4 linked regions of the Saccharomyces cerevisiae S288C genome follow. The main gene of each other region encodes a partner of the protein of the gene in region 4 in a complex. Each region holds a gene or a part of one and is shown on either strand. Other genes may lie near its edges. The genes, in order: POL30, RFC3, RFC4 and ELG1. A codon is read from its position in the direction of its gene.

What was found.
Region 1: the proteins of ELG1 (region 4) and POL30 are in contact, whole or in part, in a cryo-EM structure (PDB 8THC), measured with the Saccharomyces cerevisiae proteins. Residues at the interface, in NP_014787.3 of Saccharomyces cerevisiae: Glu275 (codon at 2,754), Lys276 (codon at 2,757), Pro277 (codon at 2,760), Gln362 (codon at 3,015), Tyr364 (codon at 3,021), Asp379 (codon at 3,066), Ile380 (codon at 3,069), Asp383 (codon at 3,078), Phe384 (codon at 3,081), Thr385 (codon at 3,084), Thr386 (codon at 3,087), Thr387 (codon at 3,090), His388 (codon at 3,093), Tyr389 (codon at 3,096), Val390 (codon at 3,099), Lys391 (codon at 3,102), Arg431 (codon at 3,222), Arg432 (codon at 3,225); in NP_009645.1 of Saccharomyces cerevisiae: Asp42 (codon at 1,918), Ser43 (codon at 1,915), Arg44 (codon at 1,912), Val45 (codon at 1,909), Leu47 (codon at 1,903), Leu126 (codon at 1,666), Lys210 (codon at 1,414), Tyr211 (codon at 1,411), Pro234 (codon at 1,342), Phe249 (codon at 1,297), Ala251 (codon at 1,291), Pro252 (codon at 1,288), Lys253 (codon at 1,285), Phe254 (codon at 1,282), Asn255 (codon at 1,279).
Region 2: the proteins of ELG1 (region 4) and RFC3 are in contact, whole or in part, in a cryo-EM structure (PDB 8THD), measured with the Saccharomyces cerevisiae proteins. Residues at the interface, in NP_014787.3 of Saccharomyces cerevisiae: Arg184 (codon at 2,481), Ser185 (codon at 2,484), Val186 (codon at 2,487), Asp187 (codon at 2,490), Ile188 (codon at 2,493), Pro189 (codon at 2,496), Leu190 (codon at 2,499), Pro191 (codon at 2,502), Phe192 (codon at 2,505), Arg193 (codon at 2,508), Met561 (codon at 3,612), Val562 (codon at 3,615), Arg563 (codon at 3,618), Glu565 (codon at 3,624), Leu611 (codon at 3,762), Phe613 (codon at 3,768); in NP_014109.1 of Saccharomyces cerevisiae: Ile90 (codon at 1,873), Ala121 (codon at 1,780), Met122 (codon at 1,777), Thr123 (codon at 1,774), Asn124 (codon at 1,771), Ala125 (codon at 1,768), Gln127 (codon at 1,762), His151 (codon at 1,690), Lys152 (codon at 1,687), Leu153 (codon at 1,684), Thr154 (codon at 1,681), Pro155 (codon at 1,678), Ser242 (codon at 1,417), Lys245 (codon at 1,408), Ala246 (codon at 1,405), Leu248 (codon at 1,399), Lys249 (codon at 1,396), Leu252 (codon at 1,387), Glu253 (codon at 1,384), Ile284 (codon at 1,291), Leu285 (codon at 1,288), Glu286 (codon at 1,285), Asp287 (codon at 1,282), Tyr288 (codon at 1,279), Glu289 (codon at 1,276), Leu290 (codon at 1,273), Phe331 (codon at 1,150), Glu334 (codon at 1,141).
Region 3: the proteins of ELG1 (region 4) and RFC4 are in contact, whole or in part, in a cryo-EM structure (PDB 8THD), measured with the Saccharomyces cerevisiae proteins. Residues at the interface, in NP_014787.3 of Saccharomyces cerevisiae: Arg193 (codon at 2,508), Ile195 (codon at 2,514), Pro196 (codon at 2,517), Leu198 (codon at 2,523), Asn199 (codon at 2,526), His200 (codon at 2,529), Phe202 (codon at 2,535), Pro204 (codon at 2,541), Asp206 (codon at 2,547), Tyr207 (codon at 2,550), Leu210 (codon at 2,559), Lys211 (codon at 2,562), Asp212 (codon at 2,565), Lys213 (codon at 2,568), Arg222 (codon at 2,595), Pro226 (codon at 2,607), Thr237 (codon at 2,640), Thr238 (codon at 2,643), Leu239 (codon at 2,646), Thr240 (codon at 2,649), Gln243 (codon at 2,658), Lys344 (codon at 2,961), Asn367 (codon at 3,030), Ser368 (codon at 3,033), Asn369 (codon at 3,036), Met370 (codon at 3,039), Asn371 (codon at 3,042), Asn406 (codon at 3,147), Asp407 (codon at 3,150), Val410 (codon at 3,159); in NP_014547.1 of Saccharomyces cerevisiae: Glu28 (codon at 1,391), Thr29 (codon at 1,388), Asp31 (codon at 1,382), Arg32 (codon at 1,379), Leu33 (codon at 1,376), Gln35 (codon at 1,370), Ile36 (codon at 1,367), Asp39 (codon at 1,358), Asn41 (codon at 1,352), Pro43 (codon at 1,346), His44 (codon at 1,343), Met50 (codon at 1,325), Ile86 (codon at 1,217), Asp87 (codon at 1,214), Arg90 (codon at 1,205), Lys94 (codon at 1,193), Gly106 (codon at 1,157), His108 (codon at 1,151), Met119 (codon at 1,118), Thr120 (codon at 1,115), Ala121 (codon at 1,112), Gly122 (codon at 1,109), Gln125 (codon at 1,100), Ala126 (codon at 1,097), Arg128 (codon at 1,091), Arg129 (codon at 1,088), Thr130 (codon at 1,085), Glu132 (codon at 1,079), Leu133 (codon at 1,076), Ser135 (codon at 1,070).

The regions. Positions count from the first base shown.
Region 1 is NC_001134.8:423,726-428,100, forward strand, and holds POL30 (proliferating cell nuclear antigen), read right to left. Parts: upstream 2,042-4,375; coding exon 1,265-2,041; downstream 1-1,264. Other genes in the region: RFC5 (replication factor C subunit 5), read left to right, coding at 40-1,104; NHP6B (high-mobility group nucleosome-binding protein), read right to left, coding at 2,465-2,764; YBR090C (uncharacterized protein), read right to left, coding at 2,608-2,791, 3,149-3,333; TIM12 (Tim12p), read right to left, coding at 3,430-3,759; acid phosphatase PHO3, read right to left, coding at 3,973-4,375. UniProt on the Saccharomyces cerevisiae protein: This protein is an auxiliary protein of DNA polymerase delta and is involved in the control of eukaryotic DNA replication by increasing the polymerase's processibility during elongation of the leading strand. Involved in DNA repair.
Region 2 is NC_001146.8:83,435-88,357, reverse strand, and holds RFC3 (replication factor C subunit 3), read right to left. Parts: upstream 2,141-4,923; coding exon 1,118-2,140; downstream 1-1,117. Other genes in the region: PCL1 (Pcl1p), read right to left, coding at 1-461; MID1 (Mid1p), read left to right, coding at 2,543-4,189; pseudouridine synthase PUS4, read right to left, coding at 4,341-4,923. UniProt on the Saccharomyces cerevisiae protein: Component of ATP-dependent clamp loader (RFC and RFC-like) complexes for DNA clamps, such as the POL30/PCNA homotrimer and the checkpoint clamp DDC1:MEC3:RAD17 complex.
Region 3 is NC_001147.6:141,084-146,036, forward strand, and holds RFC4 (replication factor C subunit 4), read right to left. Parts: upstream 1,473-4,953; coding exon 501-1,472; downstream 1-500. Other genes in the region: HMI1 (ATP-dependent 3'-5' DNA helicase), read right to left, coding at 1-264; TRM10 (tRNA (guanine(9)-N(1))-methyltransferase), read left to right, coding at 1,732-2,613; YPQ1 (cationic amino acid transporter), read left to right, coding at 3,121-4,047; SPO21 (Spo21p), read left to right, coding at 4,251-4,953. UniProt on the Saccharomyces cerevisiae protein: Component of ATP-dependent clamp loader (RFC and RFC-like) complexes for DNA clamps, such as the POL30/PCNA homotrimer and the checkpoint clamp DDC1:MEC3:RAD17 complex.
Region 4 is NC_001147.6:602,217-607,023, reverse strand, and holds ELG1 (Elg1p), read left to right. Parts: upstream 1-1,931; coding exon 1,932-4,307; downstream 4,308-4,807. Other genes in the region: MDM32 (Mdm32p), read right to left, coding at 1-417; PNO1 (Pno1p), read left to right, coding at 853-1,677; THI80 (thiamine diphosphokinase), read left to right, coding at 4,682-4,807.

The sequences.
Region 1 (4,375 bases), on a different chromosome or scaffold from region 4:
TGATGGTTCATGGAAATTATAGATTAGTACAGCACAAACATGTCATTGTGGGTAGATAAATACAGACCTAAGTCCTTGAATGCTCTTTCACATAATGAAGAGTTGACAAATTTTCTAAAATCGTTATCTGATCAGCCTCGTGATTTACCTCATCTTTTACTGTATGGACCAAATGGTACAGGTAAGAAAACGCGTTGTATGGCATTATTGGAGTCCATATTTGGACCTGGAGTCTATAGATTGAAAATTGATGTCAGACAATTTGTCACTGCTTCGAACAGAAAACTAGAACTGAATGTGGTCAGCTCGCCATACCATTTAGAGATCACGCCAAGTGATATGGGTAACAATGATAGAATTGTCATCCAAGAACTATTGAAAGAAGTGGCTCAAATGGAACAAGTGGACTTTCAAGATTCTAAGGATGGACTTGCCCATAGATATAAGTGTGTTATTATCAACGAGGCGAACTCGTTAACAAAAGATGCTCAAGCTGCTTTAAGACGTACCATGGAAAAATACTCCAAAAACATTAGGTTGATAATGGTCTGCGATTCGATGTCGCCTATAATTGCTCCTATCAAATCCCGTTGTCTGTTGATTCGTTGTCCTGCACCAAGCGATAGCGAAATTTCAACTATCTTGTCTGATGTGGTGACAAATGAAAGAATACAACTAGAAACAAAGGATATTTTAAAAAGAATTGCTCAGGCATCGAATGGAAACTTGCGAGTCTCCCTATTAATGCTTGAATCTATGGCACTGAACAACGAATTAGCATTGAAAAGCAGTAGCCCTATAATAAAACCAGATTGGATTATAGTGATCCATAAATTAACGAGGAAAATCGTTAAAGAGAGATCTGTCAATTCTTTAATCGAATGCAGAGCTGTCCTATACGATTTACTAGCTCATTGTATACCTGCCAATATCATCTTAAAGGAACTAACGTTTTCTTTGTTGGATGTGGAAACCCTGAATACCACGAATAAATCGTCCATAATTGAATACTCAAGTGTTTTTGACGAAAGATTATCACTTGGAAACAAAGCAATATTCCATTTGGAAGGGTTCATAGCAAAAGTTATGTGCTGTCTAGATTAATGTAAGATATGTCATAAATACTGTATAAGTCACACAAAAAGCTGATATTTAACGCATCTTAGTCTTTATTTTCTTTGTTATTTATTTTCATTTAAAACAAACTTTACTGTTTTTTTTTTGTTTATTATTTTTAGTATACAACTATATAGATAATTTACATTTATTCTTCGTCATTAAATTTAGGAGCCAAGAAAAACTGTAGGAACCCACTCTTCAAATCAAATTGGAATAAAGCAGGAGCTTCGCTGGAGAGCCTGATACCAACTCTATCAGAAAGGGAGGAGCCCTTAATGATGTCCAATAAATATTTAGCTCCGAACGTCAAGTCGACAGGTTGATCCATTTCAAGTTTGATGCTTGTTTCAGGATGTTCCATATCCACGAATGGTTTTATTATGACTGAACCTGATCCGATATCACCGTCAGCTACAAACTTTATTGTTTCTTTGGTGATCATGATATTAATAGAATCACTCAATTGGGACAAGTCACGAACAATTTTAGAGAATTCGGAAGATGGCAATGACAGGGTGGAGTCGTACTGTAATTCTTCAATCTTTAAGAAATCAGCATCGATATCCATCAATTTCAGAGAGTATTCGGCTATACGGTCTTTCTTGGTATCCTCAAATAATAAGATGATGGAATCCGGTGTGTTGTCAGCAATTAGTGTTAATGTATCGGTGTTGTTACCACAACGTAGGATTTTACTTAGTGAGGTTAGATCCATACCTAACGTAACAGGATGGTCACATCTATATTCTTGGAAGGCTTCGACACCTATTTCCAAGGAGACCAATAGAACTCTTGAGTCATCGACAGCTTGTGCAATGATACCATCTTCTTTACATTGGAAATTGACCAACTGGACACAATCTTTGAAACCATCAATTATTCTCTTGAAAAGGGATGCTTCTTCAAATTTTGCTTCTAACATTTTTTCTCTCTTTTGACTGCGTACTTAGTGCTTGCTGCTTGTTGCTGTGAGTGAAAAAGGACGGCGAAAGTGAAAGGTGCAAGTGGAAAGAAAGGAAGGCTAAAGCAAAAGTGTTTCTTATATATAATTTTATGTACCAGAGGAAGCAAAGTACGAAAACTATCAGTTGAAATCCAAAAAAAAAAAGTTACGCGTTTCGCGTTTTGGTGCGTCGGATGGAGAAGAAAAATGCTAAATAATTAGATATTGAAGAATCAGCATAAGTTGTGCGAAAAAGGAAGAGAATACATAAAAGAAAAGAAGGATATATAAGTAAAATAATGATAATAGTAATAATAATAACACATAATGCAACCTACTCAACTTCTTTCTGAAGTTTCAAAAGTACGTTGTATGGGAGGTAGAGAACATTGAGTTGTTAGATCAAGCACGTGTAGCATTGTACAATTCCTTTTCAGATTCGTATCTCTTCTTGTCTGCTTGAGCCTTAGATTCATAGGGTTGCTTTTCTTCAGCAGTTAAGGCCTTCCACCTCTCACCCAATATTCTGCCTACTTGGCCAAAAGTTACGTCAGGATTCTCGGAACGGACAATGTCTCTGTTTTCATTAGCAAAGAACATATAAGCTGACAAGCCCCTCTTAGGGGCGTTAGGATCCTTCTTTCTCCTGGTGGTCCTCTTCTTTGGTTCCTTTGGTTGCTTTGCTTCTTTAGTTGCGGCCATAGCGCTAGTTTTATATATGTTAATGTTCTAAGTTAATTAGTTAGTACTCTTGTCGTGCGCTATGATAAACAAAGGAAGGGGGTGCACAGAACAGCAGTCCTTTAGAGGATACTACAGTAGAAAGCTAGAGTCCTGACTTACAACTTGAGCATGCCGTTATGGGCGGCTATTTCATTTCACCTGAACCGTATTAAAATATCATCTTCCTTGCTGCTACAACCTTCATTGTAGCCGGTTTATAAGATTACCATCATTGTCTACCCCTCTTTAACTTCTCCCGAAAAGCAGAGTTGCCCTTAGCTGTATCCTGTTCTAGCTGTGCTAAACTGTACGTTCTTATTAAGCCCATCCTCGTCCGCTGGGCTCACCCAGCGCCTTACATACTTTGCGAAAAAGTCGTTTTTCTGCTTGGTGTTAGGAGCTGTCTCCCATAGTGTAAACTCCCAGTATTGCCTCAACCTCACTTGCTGTACTTTATAGTTGCCGCGCCACCTAAAAAAAAAAACAAAAAAGACACCACCTAAAAAAACGGGTGAGGGGAATGCACGTGACCCAGGTGCGGGTACCATATAAATGTACTTCTAAAATTGTCTACACAGCTTATAATGCTATATATGCAGGTTACTATTATATACAAACAGCACAGACAGTCCTCATATTTACAGCTATTTTTTGGAATCATCAGCTATTTCTTTGGCCACAAATCGCGAATAATGTCGTAGCTGATTCTCTGGCCCGAAACCTCGTGTTTGTACAAATCCTCCAATGAGGCGATTGCTGTAATGCATCTTTGCCACACATCTGTCTATGCAGCATTGCTCACCTTTCGTTAGATCAGGCTCACCAAAGCCCTCATGCGGAATACATTTCTCAAGACACGTACTGAGAATATTGTTGAAAGTCGAGCACATCGCATCGAATTGCACTCCTGCAACGTCTAGCTTCTCTTGCGAGACCTCCTGGTTGCCCCTTAGACTATTTAAAAAGAACGACATCCTTTTCTTGGTGCACTTTAATATTATACGGGAGCTCCGATATCTATTTCAGCAATATAGACTACAATCAACTTTGCTGTTCTTACTTTTTAGTTAACTTTTTTCTTTTCATTCTGCCGCTAATCTACAAACTCGTTACCCTACTAGTACATAAAAGAAGATCAGAATCGATGGGTATTTATTTATATTTGCAATATTATTTATTTATACAATTTATTGTTTTAATAGGGTATCGTTGTAGTGAGTAGTATTCCAGTCCCAGTAGAAGGTCAATTCGGTGACGTTACTGACACTGCTGACGTTACAGACCTTTAGGAAGTCAGTACCAGCTACTCTCTTTTCAGCATAGTCGTAGAAATCATTGATTTCACAAGAGAACCCTGGGCCGGTGGAACAGGTTTCAATTGGAACGACAGCATCGTTAATGACGTATCTGACGTAGGTGTCGTTAGAACATTGGAATTTTTCGGTGTAGACACGAGCACCTTGAGGAACGTACCAGGACTTATGGAAGGTGTTGCCCATGAATGGAACGTATTCGGCAGTTAAGTTGTTTTTGTCGTCAATTATACCAGCGGTGGTCAAATAGTTTAGGATATCGGTATCGTGGGTAAAA
Region 2 (4,923 bases), on a different chromosome or scaffold from region 4:
TTCACCCTGAGGTCCCAGTTCAACAGCTGTAACAACTGCCTTTCCATAAGGTTGATATCCTCTAGTGTAAAGAGACCATCGGTGTACCTAGCCCAGTGCTTGTTTAAAGGAGAAGAGTCATTGTGAAACTTAGCACTCAGTATCAAACAGGCCAAGAAAATGCGATGGATGGTCGAGGGGAGACCAGTAGCGTCCCTGGGCAGAATACGCTTTAATTTGTTCAAATAGCACGCAGCGGTGAGCAGAGTGGGTGTGTAGACGTTGGTGTATCTGACCAATCTAGTGATAAAAGTCATTAGCGATGGCAGCCTTGTGAGGTGTTTCTCTCCTGGAGAACCGGGAGGCGTGGGGTAGTTGCTTGAAGGAACAACCCTCAATGTTGTGTCTGTTAAGAATTTTATTATGTCATCCGTTACTGGCGACTTGAGCAGAATATGAAGAGCCTTGCTGTATTCACACATTTTATTACTTTACTGTTATTTGTATAATTGATTGTTTTTGTTATCGTTTTTGTTCTTGACAATGGATGATTGCTGATGTACGCAATAGTAATTCCAAGACACAAGAGTTAAGGACAAGCTTATCAATCCCATTACCATGTAGGCCTATTGACCTTATATATGTTTTCCTATCGCTATATGGAAGCTACCATTCCTTTTATTCTCCATAATAACGCCAAAATCTGCCCACAGCCTTGTAGCCTCATTTGGCTCCCGACATTTCGAGTCGCTTTTGCGTCGCATGCCTCCGCGAAAAATTTCGCGCCGGACGCGATTTTTAACACGAAATTCTTGTTCGTGCCGCTGTTGCCCTTTTGGGAAATATTTCCCGATCTGGCATTCGCAGAACACTAGAGCCAGAGTTCTGCCATTCTTTACGTCCAAGAGGTTAAAGTACAGATCACGTAACGGAATGCTACTTTCTGTAACAATTTGGCGATTCGCATTCTCAGTTGTTAGCTAGACGCCAATTGATTTACGGTTTCCGGTATGCAAATTGAAAATGCTTTCATCTATTTCTTTTATTTTTTTTATTTCGTTCTGGGCGTTGTGTTATGTTGTTATATTGCACAATGCAGTTGTTCTGTACATATTGTATCTATACATATTTGCGTCGATTATACGTTGGCTTTAACAGTTTCGTTCTCGAAGCTGGCCTTGATGGCGCCAATGACCGCGCTGCCCTGAATCTGGTCGTTGCCACCCTTGGATATCGAGTACTCTATATCGGCCAGTTTGGTAAGCAAATGCACTCTTGTTTCCTCATTTTGAAGTTCGTAGTCTTCCAGTATCTTCACTATGCCCTCGATTAGGTCGATCAACGCGAGACCCTTGGCACTGCGTACCTTATTAAGTGTGTAGTGGGCGGTACCCCAATCGTCCTCCAGTATCGACTTCAATACTGCCTTTAAGTCACTTGGTCTGGGTGCCCCACAGCATTCATAGATAACGTCGTCACTGATCTCATCCTCGTCGGGATTGTCTAAAGTAGCTTTGCAAGACTGCAAAACGTTTAACACACGTCTCATATCCCCATTAGAAAGTTCTATTAAGGCCTTCTCCGCATTAGGAGACAACTTCAGCTTCTCATGCACCAAGACGTTGGCTATCCGACGCTCAATGGCCTCTTGGGGCAAGGGCTGAAATCTGAATCTCGTGCACCTACTCAATAACGCAGGTGTAAGTTTATGCGCATAATTGGCCAATACACAGAACCGCGTATTCTTGGTGTACCGTTCTATAACTCTTCTCAACGCATTTTGTGCGGCATTGGTCATGGCATCTGCTTCATCCAGTATAATTAACTTGAACCCTTTAGAGAAGATTTGTCTTGTAGAGGCAAAGTCTTTAATTTGATTCCTCACCACATCAATACCTCTGTCATCGGATGCATTCAGCTCCAAAACCATGTTCGAGTAATTCTTACCATATATCTCACGTGCCAAAGCAACAATTGTAGAAGTTTTACCGGTACCTGGAGGCCCATAGAATAGAAGATGTGGCAATTTACCTTCATCTACAAATTTACGAACTGTGGTGATCACCTCATTTTGTCCGTACACTTCGTCCAACGTTTCGGGTCTGTATTTTTCAACCCATGGAAGGTTTTCTTTGCTCCTCTTCTCTGTACTTGTCGACATTCTTGTATGTCGGGCCTGTTCCTACACCTTTTATAAAATTATTCAAGCTTTGAAAAGATATTTATCCTGTGCTCTTTATAGCTTCTTTCCATTTCTTTCAAAATCGCGTACTGACCAAAAAAAAAAAAGATCAAAATTGAGAAGCCATACATAATATAATAATGATATAGTTTCGCTGCCATCGGACCGCAATAGTAACTCTACAAGTAAACGTGTTGTTTTCTCAAGAACAGGTTACTGAAACTGAGCCATTGGTTGCGGAAAATTTCCCTAATAATTTCGACCGGCTGACGTACCGTTTTGGCTATTTCTCAAATACTTGACTGGCTTAACTGCCATACTGAATTGCAGTAAAACCCGTAACACTACAATTTCTGTCCAGCGGCAGTATTATTTCTAAGGATGATAGTGTGGCAAGCACTATTCGTGGTTTACTGCCTATTTACCACTTCTATTCACGGTTTATTCCAAGACTTCAATCCTTTCGCAAATAAGAATATTTCCTTAAAGTTTCCCAGCCTAAATAGATGGGAGAAAAACGTTATGGCTACTGGTCAACAAACAATCATCAATTCGGATAGCATTTATGAATGGACCCCGATCTTATCTAACATAACAGCGGGCAAAAAAGACAGTTTTGTATTTACCATTGACGCAGAAGCCTCCGGTTATGGGTTTGCTCCCACGTATGAAGTGTTAATGTTTATTAGCGGCAATATATGCCAAATGCCCATGAATAGATCAGATGTGGATTTAACAATATACTACTCTTTTAATGAAACGGTTTTAGAGAACCCAAATATAGGTCAAAGTGCAGTTTTTCAGGATGGCTACATCCAAGCATTAGCCATCAGTCCAGTGCAGTCTTCTAGCTCGAACGCTACCTCCACGTATTCAAATCTTTATGTGGTCGCTGAGCTAGTGAATTCCACTACGGAGCAACCTCTGTCCAGTTCCGACGCCTCTGAAAATTGGGAATATAGACTGAGTATCTCTGAGAACGATTTGGTTTTTCAGTGGGATGTAAGGCCTTGGGTAGAGGTCCTGGACACTGATATGAATTCTGCATTACTATCAACGGGGAATGTCACCGCAGACGCCAAAGTTTATCACAATTATTCAATATATGATCCATCCTTGTACGATCTGTATGTTTACTCGTACGAAGATTCTGTTCAACTAAACCAAAACTATAATTTATCTCTTTGTGCTGTGAAAAATGGACCATATTTAGTGTCTTCCCAAAATACATCAAATGCAACAGTTACGTCAAATAGTACAAATCCTTTAGAGCGTACTGACTTGGCGATTCAAAAAAAAATTACAGAATATGGTGGTAGCGTGACAGAAATGTTTTACGTGACAGGACTGAATGCCTCAACAACTTATGTAGCGTACCTGACAAAGAAAATCAGTAATGGTGATGGGTTGTCAAGTGTGGGCGGCATTTTATTTTCACATGTTTATTTTACCACAAGAAGTACCGATGTCTGCTCTTTGATCTTTGGTTTGGACTTCTGCAGTGACGTCGCTTACTCTGTTCCTACATCCTCATTTTCTGTGGGTAATAAAACTCTCATGGCGCAGACATATGACCACATTGCAGAGGCACTATATGCAAATTTTAGCAAAGCTCTACAGTTAATATCCTGTGACGCAGACAAAGACGCAAGATATTCTCCGGTCATGACTTGTGACGATTGTGCCGAAGCTTATCGTGATTGGGTATGTGCAGTATCAATTCCGAGATGCACCACGACGTCTTCCCAATACTACATCCACAGAGATAAAAGTCACAACCGTAATGATTATTTGAATAAATTTATTAAACCTTTGGATGACTATTACGAAATTCTACCTTGTATTGACATGTGCTATACATTAGTACGAAATTGCCCAAGCGATTTTCAATTTTCCTGTCCGAATGATCTTACTACGGAAGATCTTCTTTATCAAAGTTACAATTTCTATATGGACACTGACTACTCAACCTGTAATTATATAGGTAACTCATCCTTGATGGTAATTCATCCATTGGACGATACGTAGAAGAGACCGAACTATCACAAAAAAATTGAACGATTTAAATGCATAAGTACATCGATTTTTTTTAAATCATATATACACATAAAAAAATAGATAAAATGAGAGCGTAGTCTTCACAAGACCAAAAAAAAAAATGGTTCGAACTTCCTCTTTTTTACACCTGTTCGATTTTTCTTTTTAGTGTATTAGAATGTTCTTCGGCGTTAGCAGTTTCAATTGTTTCAGCCGTAGCCTCATCACCAGGTTGATCACTCGAAACTATACATTCCTTCACGTCCGCTGGTATTTCCTTTTCTGCTTTCTTTAGCTCTTCTATAACATCAACAGTTGCTCCCTCGTCTAGAACCTTCTCCAGTACCTTACTCCACACCTTCTCGTCTCTTTCAGTAAAATCCGTTAATTGGAACACATTATTTTTTTCAAGAGACCAGTCCTGCTGTTGCAAACGTATCAATTTCACCATATAACATGAGCTCCTCATAGATTTACCGATGTCGCTCACTAAGGACCTTATGTATGTTCCAGAAGACACATTAGCTTTGAAGTGCAATTTTGGAGCCCTATAAGAATCTCCTTCTTTTTGGATTTCTTGCTCTTCTTGTTCACTCAGCGGAAATGGTTCTTCTACCTTTGCCACCTCAGAATCAAGGCCGTGCTTCTCTGTATATTCTTTTGAAAAGTATAAAACATCGTTTAGCATGTTTGCATTCAAATTTTTCACGGTATCAACAGCTTCT
Region 3 (4,953 bases), 460 kb from region 4:
AATCTGATGGACAATTTCCTTATTTGTATGCGAGTTTTCGAAAATGGACAGTAAATTTTCTATTATACTATCAACTGCTTTGTTTGTTAACGAAAATATAAGTATTTCTTCAGGCTTAATATTCTCCACAGTAATTAAATGTAGTACTTTATATAGTAGCGTTAGCGTTTTTCCTGAGCCTGGGCCCGCAATGACTTTTATCGTAGACGCTGGTTCATATGACTTATTTATTACCTTCCATTGAGATGGAGTTAGCTTGTCCATCTGTCTTCAACGAACGACGTATACCTTCTCTATATTTTTTCTACATATTATGACTATGTAACTGCACTGCGAGTTGTAAGTTTTGATCAACAAACAACTTTAAAGCTTAAATTGTGCAAAAATGAAAAAAAAAAAAAAATTCTGACACATCACAAGGGAAGAGACAAGACAAAGAAGTAGAATTTAAAGTAATGCACTAATATGGGAGTTTTTTTTATAGTTTTCGGATATTTAAATCAGGCTTTATTATTTAGTTTATGAATTTTCGCTAACATACTAGCCAGTTGCAAGTACGTTCCAACACCCTCCAGAATTCTCATATGGGTCAAACCGATTTCTTTTATCATTTCCAATCTTACTGATTCTTTCACTTGTGCTAAGTTTTTGGTAACGCGGAAAGATGTTGTGACGATATCAATCGAGGAATAACCCTTTTTCCAAAGATCTGTTCTTAAGATTTGAATTGAATCTTCTAGGTTGGAGGCTAGTAACATTTTCTTCACTATTAGAGGGTGAGGAGAATCAACAATTTTGAAGACATTGTCTGCGTTCACTAAACCGTGTCCTGCTACTGTACTTTGTAGATTGTTTATGGCCTGTCTCATGTCACCCTCCGCTGTAAAAATGATTGCTTCTAACCCATCATTTGTATACTTAACATCCTCTAGCTTTATGATTTGTAAAAGACGTTTTAGAACGTCTTCATCGGATAGTTTAGAATACCTCAAAATCGCACATCTACTTTGCAGCGGCTCAATGATCTTGTTTGATTGATTACAAGCAAATGCAAACCTTGTAGAGTTCGAATATAGCTCCATGGTCCTTCTCAACGCTTGCTGAGCACCAGCAGTCATGGAATCCGCCTCATCAAGAATAACGATTTTATGTTTCCCTGGAGGCAAATGTAGTTTCTTCTGGGCAAAATGTTTTATTTGGTTTCTGACGACATCAATACCTCTGTCATCTGAAGCGTTCAACTCTAAAACACCGTCAGCATAAGAGCGGCCAAGGAGCTCGTGAGCAAGGCAATGTACCGAAGTGGTCTTACCTATACCTGGCATACCTGATATGATCATATGGGGCATGTTACCATCTTTAGCGATTTGCTGAAGTCTATCAATGGTCTCTTTATTACCGACTATATCAGATAAAACTTGGGGACGGTATTTCTCAACCCATGGAAGTTGCAAAGATAAAGTTTTGGACATTATAAGGGACTTTTTATATCTTCTGGGAAGCTCTGCAATGTTATAATAGATCCAATCAGATTTATAAATGCTACTATTTTACAGTATTTAAAATATGTGGTTGGTTTTCCCACCTTTTTGTCAAGAAAAAACGCGTTTAATCTAACAGTGTGATGTGGTAATGAAAAATTTTCATTGTCTTTAAGAGAGATGGTGATGTTTAATATAGCGTAAAGCTTTCAAGGTAAATAATTAAGTGTCAATCTGCAGGCAAAACAACATGTCCAATGATGAGATAAACCAGAACGAGGAAAAGGTGAAAAGAACACCACCTTTACCGCCTGTGCCAGAAGGCATGTCTAAAAAGCAATGGAAAAAAATGTGTAAAAGACAGAGATGGGAGGAGAATAAAGCCAAATACAATGCGGAACGCCGTGTAAAGAAGAAGAGACTTCGCCATGAAAGAAGTGCGAAGATTCAAGAATACATTGACAGGGGAGAAGAGGTCCCGCAGGAATTGATTAGAGAGCCTCGTATCAATGTGAATCAGACTGATTCTGGGATAGAGATCATACTTGACTGTTCTTTTGATGAGTTAATGAACGACAAGGAAATAGTAAGCTTGTCTAACCAGGTCACCAGGGCATACTCCGCGAATAGAAGGGCGAACCATTTTGCAGAAATAAAGGTGGCCCCATTCGACAAAAGACTAAAGCAAAGGTTTGAAACTACTCTGAAAAATACCAATTATGAAAACTGGAACCATTTTAAATTCCTACCAGACGACAAAATCATGTTTGGAGATGAGCATATAAGTAAGGACAAAATAGTGTATTTAACGGCCGATACAGAGGAAAAGCTGGAGAAGCTGGAACCCGGGATGCGATACATTGTTGGCGGCATTGTAGACAAGAATCGTTATAAAGAATTGTGTCTGAAGAAGGCCCAAAAGATGGGCATTCCTACGCGAAGATTGCCCATTGACGAGTACATCAATCTCGAAGGCAGAAGAGTGTTGACGACAACGCACGTCGTGCAACTCATGCTGAAATACTTTGATGACCATAACTGGAAAAATGCCTTTGAAAGCGTTTTACCACCCAGAAAGCTGGATGCGGAAGCAAAATCCGCAAGCTCTTCGCCAGCTCCAAAGGACACATAGGCAGCCATCACTGTAGTATTATTAGTAACTGAATAGCAAAATAGTAATAGTCTCCGTAGCTACAATAGGTGTATATTGATGTCAGAGATACGGGTTAAACATGCGCAACTGGTAGTAGTTCTTCAAAGGGTGTTTATGCTTATCATAGTACTTGGACATTAGCCGCCGAAACTGGCTCCACTCGAAATCTAAATGGCATTCCCTTTTTAATATTAACAACACCAATCTTAGTGTCCGAGAGGTCCAAATCTAATGTAGGGCCGTGGGAGGATACTTCTTATTTCTCTTTGCTTATTTTGCTTTGATGTTGTATGTGTTTTACCTGTAAATTCTCTAATATGGTCATTTTTGCTCTTAATGACTCTTTTATTTTTACCCGGATTGCAATTTTTCACATATCGTCTTTTTATTCACTACGTACTTTAATCGTCTTCGCGATGATATGTACTGCTAACGAAAGAATGCCATACAAAAAAAAAGCTACCACATCGCTCGACGACCTCAATTATGCAACTTGTGCCGCTAGAATTGAATAGATCCACTCTAAGTGGGATATCTGGGTCCATCTCCATCTCCTGCTGGATCATTGTGTTTGTCCCTCAAATTTACGAGAACTTTTACCGGAAGTCGTCTGATGGGCTGTCTTTATTGTTCGTGGTACTTTGGTTGGCCGGCGATGTCTTTAACCTTATGGGTGCCGTTATGCAACATCTTTTGTCTACCATGATCATTCTTGCTGCTTACTATACGGTGGCAGATATCATTTTACTAGGTCAATGTCTATGGTACGATAATGAGGAAAAACCAGCAGTAGACCCTATTCATCTCTCCCCTGCCAATCCAATAAACGAAAACGTTCTGCACGATGTGTTCAATGAACAACAACCGCTTTTGAATTCCCAAGGTCAGCCAAATCGTATTGATGAAGAAATGGCTGCTCCTTCATCCGACGGAAACGCTGGTGATGATAATCTCCGTGAAGTCAATTCAAGAAATTTGATAAAAGACATATTTATTGTTAGTGGTGTAGTTTTTGTAGGTTTCATCTCGTGGTATGTAACCTACTGCGTAAACTACACGCAACCTCCTCCCGTGGAGGATCCATCACTGCCTGTTCCCGAACTGCAGATCAATTGGATGGCTCAGATATTCGGTTACTTAAGTGCCCTTTTGTATCTGGGTTCAAGAATTCCTCAGATATTACTGAATTTTAAGAGAAAGTCTTGTGAAGGTATCAGTTTCCTATTCTTTTTGTTCGCCTGTTTGGGTAATACCACATTTATTTTCTCTGTGATTGTCATTTCTTTAGACTGGAAGTATCTAATTATGAATGCTTCCTGGTTGGTTGGAAGCATAGGTACTTTATTCATGGATTTCGTCATATTTTCCCAGTTTTTCATTTACAAAAGAAATAAAAAATTTATACTGAATTAACATGTTCTATCTAATATTTATTTAACATATTTTTGACCTCACAAACTTTTTTTTTTTTTCTCTCTGTCATTGACATTTTTTTAATGTCACAAAAAGAAAAATTAAATGTATTATAAAATTTCATTTAAATAGGAAAAAACCCGTGATTACTAAAGGCATATTAAAGATCTATTAAAGATCTATTAAAGCTTTCTGCTACCAGTATGGATAATATTTTAAAGGCATCAAATATGGAAGGGACTTCAACAATGACAGTTACCTCGCGTAGTTCTGAAGACTCTAGTTGTATCTCAAATCATGAACAAGATACCGATACACATAAGGACGGCGACACAAGTGGTCTGGAAAACAGTAAAATTTCGAAGAGAAAGTGGATGAAAGAGTTTTTTAAACTTTCCAAATCTCCAGCTTCCAAAAGCAGCCGGAGTATAGGTTCCATGAAAAGTAACCAGAGCCTCGTTTCAATGAAAAGTAGTGACGATGGCAACAGTTATAAAAATGATTACTCTTCTATCTGTGGTAACAGCCTTCCATCTGCAGGCTTGAGTCGTTCGAATAGTGTGAAAGAATTAAAATTAGATTCAACTGGAAGTCAGAGATCAAAAAATAATGTTGCCATGTTAGCACGTTCTTCTACAACATCTCAGACAACGTGCTCTTCTTCTTCATCATCATCTTCTTATAACTCTATAAAAGGAAATGAAAATGATATTTTATTGCAGAATAACAATCACTTTAGGCATAACAAAGAAATTCCTCAAAGTAAAGGGAGCTCCAACATTAACACCGCATCGATTATGAGCCAATACAATGTCGATACGCAAGCAACCGCTATAATGAGCGATATGCAAAAGCAATACGACTCGCAACAGATGACATCACCATTTGTAAACGAAGACTTGCATT
Region 4 (4,807 bases):
GAGCCATAGAATTTGTGACAATATCAGCCAAGACGCTATAATACTTATTTCATTCAGAGAGAACGGCCTGTTGTTTTTAATAAGAATCCACTTTAGATTGATTTTGAACCTTTCTTGAAAATTCTTTGCATCTGCTAGAAGCGATTGCTTGAACTCTCGCTCATTATTTTTTCTCAGCAAAATAGTCTCAATATTGGAAGCCTTGGTAGTGAACTTGTCATTGCTTGGAAATGTTCGGATGTGCCTTTGGGCGATCAAACATCTAACAGGTAACGAACTCTTGTAAGGTGTTATAAAAGGTCTGACATTTCCATGATTAGTTGCGACGTAAGTTCGAATACAGTGTCTTACGAGATGACTTGTAATTGGAAGCAGTGGCCGCTTTATTGTAGGGACCCGTAAACGTGTGATTAGCATGAATTTTATAAACCTCCCACCACCTGATAATCTGTATGTGCCTTTTGTTTTAATACTTCTTGACGCAAATCTACTGTCAACTTTAATATGCATCCCTCCATAGTAAGTCAAGGATCAGCTAGAACCAATAACGAGAAGTAAAAAAAAGTGACAAAAAGTCAAATGTGTCTTTATACGAATTTTTTAACCTACATATGAAGAGTAAGGTCATAAATAATAAATGTAGGGCTAAATGCAGTTAAGATTACTACAGTATTAGGTCTGTTTTTTATCACCTCTTACGGAAAGTGCGAGCGGGAAAAAATTTTTCTTCTTTCCTTATTATCATACCGATGCTCATCACAATGAAAGATACATATTGCATCAATAATAGGCAGTTTTCAATATTCTTCTGTTTAGTTAAGAAAAAGACTTGAAGTGAAAATAAACTACATTATGGTTGCGCCTACTGCTTTGAAAAAGGCTACTGTGACACCTGTAAGTGGACAAGATGGGGGCAGTAGTAGAATTATAGGAATAAATAATACCGAAAGCATCGATGAGGACGATGATGACGACGTTCTGTTAGATGATTCCGACAATAACACAGCAAAAGAAGAGGTAGAGGGCGAAGAAGGTAGCCGGAAAACGCACGAATCTAAGACCGTAGTGGTTGATGACCAGGGGAAACCTCGCTTCACTTCAGCTAGCAAAACACAGGGTAACAAAATAAAATTTGAATCGAGAAAGATCATGGTTCCACCACACAGAATGACACCCTTGAGGAACAGTTGGACAAAAATTTATCCTCCTTTGGTCGAGCACTTGAAGCTGCAAGTCAGAATGAATTTAAAGACCAAATCCGTAGAACTAAGAACGAATCCTAAATTTACCACAGACCCTGGTGCGTTGCAAAAAGGGGCCGATTTTATCAAAGCCTTTACCTTAGGGTTTGATCTTGACGATTCTATCGCACTATTGAGGCTAGATGATTTATATATTGAGACTTTTGAAGTCAAAGATGTCAAGACTCTAACAGGTGACCATTTGTCGAGAGCCATCGGTCGTATTGCCGGTAAAGACGGTAAAACGAAATTTGCGATTGAAAACGCTACAAGAACAAGAATTGTCTTAGCTGACTCTAAAATCCACATTTTGGGCGGGTTCACCCACATCAGAATGGCAAGAGAATCTGTGGTTAGTTTAATTTTGGGTTCCCCTCCAGGTAAAGTTTATGGGAACTTACGTACCGTTGCATCTAGATTAAAAGAACGCTACTAAACATAATTTGTGGGCTTTCATCATCTGTATAATATTTATATGTCGTTTTATGGCGAAATAGAGTGAATAAATAGGTTTTTTTTTCCTTCTTTTTTTTAGGACGCCAAACGCGTAACGTTAGCGGTGATAAATTAGTTTAGTATTATTATCCGGCTATTTGCTTCATGTATTTAACGTCTTCACTGACCACCTTCGCTGCACTAAATCGTATGGTACCATAGCATTAAACTTTTTGAATCAGAGAAGGTTTTCCAATGAAAAGGCACGTGTCTTTATCTGATATATTGACAGGAAATAAGAGAAAAGTGAGAAGACAAGATGCTCTACAGATTACCATCGATGACGAAAATGATACTGAATCAGGCACTTTTGACGCCAGAACAGCCAAACATGACGATTCTTCAGTAATATTTTTAAACCACTCTGTTGTGAAGCCAATTGAAGCTGTTTCTACTAATCACAAATCTGCAAAGGAGTTTTTGATGACGAAACGCACAAAAGAAAAATGCGATGACGACGATGATGATCTTATTGTAATCAGTGATAAGAGTCCCAAAAGTGAGACTAATTGTAGCAAAATTGCACTTTCGCAGGAGCATGAAGATGATATTTCTATAATTTCCACATCGAGAATCAAATCATCGCTTCTTAATGAAAGAGCATCAAAGATTAAAAACTTCCTTAAACATGAGACAACCGACACGTTCAAAAGATTAAATAGCATCTCTAAACTAAATGAAATAGAGCCACCATTACCATTACATCAATCGATTTTCCCAGTAGGTGACAAAGAGCTGTCAGATCGGAGTGTTGATATCCCGCTTCCTTTCCGCACAATACCGCCATTAAATCATAATTTTCTTCCTAGTGACTATGAATCGTTGAAAGACAAGAATTCAGCATCTTGTATTCCTGTTCGCTATCAAGCACCGGTATTACTTGGCACAAATATTAAAAGAAATACAACTCTCACATGGCCGCAGCTATTCAAGCCTGTCACTTTAAAACAAGTATTAATTGAACCCAAATTGAAACTTCGAATCAAAAATTGGATTGAAACATCCTTTCATACGCTAGAAAAGCCTACCTTGAGGAACCGTCTATTGAACAGAATAAATCCCAATAAACAACAGGGATCTGGTGATGAGCTTGCCAACTTCATTGTACCTGATCTCGAAGAAGACGAAAACTTGCGTCCAGATTTCTACAGAAATGGCGAAGCAAATAGCAGCTTGAGCGAATTTGTTCCACTAATGATATTACACGGAAATTCAATAGGCAAGAAAACGCTGATACAGACAATCATGAGAGAGATTGCTGGCGACGATAATTCTTACCAGATATATGAAGTTAATTCAAACATGAACAGGAGCAAAAAAGATTTGCTTGATATCCTACTAGATTTTACCACCACACACTATGTCAAAGATTCCTCAAAAAGGAAAAGTGACTACGGGCTTGTTTTATTTAATGATGTTGATGTTTTATTTAAAGAACATGATAGGGGATATTGGGCAATGATCAGCAAGCTTTGTGAATTTTCACGAAGGCCCCTCGTATTGACTTGTAAGGATTTGTCACTAGTTCCTAGTGAACTTATTGCCTTGGCAAGTGAACAAAACTCTTTGTTTCATACTAAGAAAATTAGTACATCCACAGTCTATGCGTTTCTAACAAAATATTTAAAGTCCCTTGAAATCGAAGTTTGTGACGACTGGCTTCGCGATGTTGTAAAACAAAATAATGCGGATATTAGGAAGTGCTTGATGCACTTGCAGTTTTGGTGCGTTGATACTGAGGCTGATTTGATTTCATCCAAGAACAGACTACCGGTCCTAACATCAACTCTTGGTTCAAGCGTTAAAGATATATCGCAATTAACTGATCTACTCTCCATAAATGATGTTATTGGTCAAGCAACGCTCAATCGTTCCATGGTTAGACAAGAAATAGATTCTACCACAATGACCCCAGAAAAAGTTAATACTTTCCAGGATCAAAATCTGGATGATGAAATGAAACTAAAATTTGATTACGTGATAGATTATAAATTGCATTTAAATGACCCCAATAGACAACCGTTATTACCGTTTGAATTGAATATTTACCAACACATCCAAGAACAATTGGAAGCTCGGTATTCCTATGTTAGAGAAGCAAACCATAGGCTTGATAACGAATACCTTGTTAACAGGTTCAAAAAAATGACAGAATCTACATTAAATTTTTTGGCGTCAAGAATACCGAAGTATGACCATCTTCAGTCGGCAAGAAGGACGAGAAATTCGAAGAAAATTTCTGATATTTTGAACCAATTCAAAGGAATTTATAATGATGAAACTCTGAACGAAAATGCCGAGATTGATCTGCTGAGCGCCACAACTCAACAAATTAAAGCGGAGATCAATCCCTTCGTTTTTGAAATCGCTAAAAGTGACGCCAATGTCAAGAATGAAAACAAACAAATATTTGAGTTGCATAGTGAAAATGTATCAGAAAGACGATACAAAGATTTGGTCTATCAGTTGTCACAAGAGGGTGTCTTGAAAAACGTATGGTTCAACGCTGATCCGAGCATAGTCGTGAGAAAATGGGAGCATTTGCACTCAGGCTTTTCAAAGAACAAATAACACTGATATGAAATTGCGTGCATCGTTACAGGAACACGTATGTATAATAAATATAGCATGGTAGTGCGGGGAAATATACTACTACTTTATATATCAATAAATTCTGCAACCTTGCATTAAGCAAATGCAGCACAATCCTAAATTCCTTCTAATAGTTGCCTTTATTTCCTCATAGTGCATATTTCAAAACAGCGAAAAATGCAAAATATGCGAAAACTTGAAAAAAAATGGCTGATGGGAATTACAAATAAAGCGTGAATGATAAGGCGTTTATAAAAGATTTAGCTTCTTAAGTACTGTGGTTTTGATAAAAGCTAGAAATTTGTAGATCACAATTGGTCACAAAGAACAATAAAAAGCTGAATATCACTGCTATGAGCGAGGAGTGTATTGAAAATCCTGAACGTATTAAAATTGGTACTGATTTAATCAACATCCGAAATAAAATGAACTTAAAAGAACTAATCCATCCAAACGAGGATGAAAACTCTACCCTACTC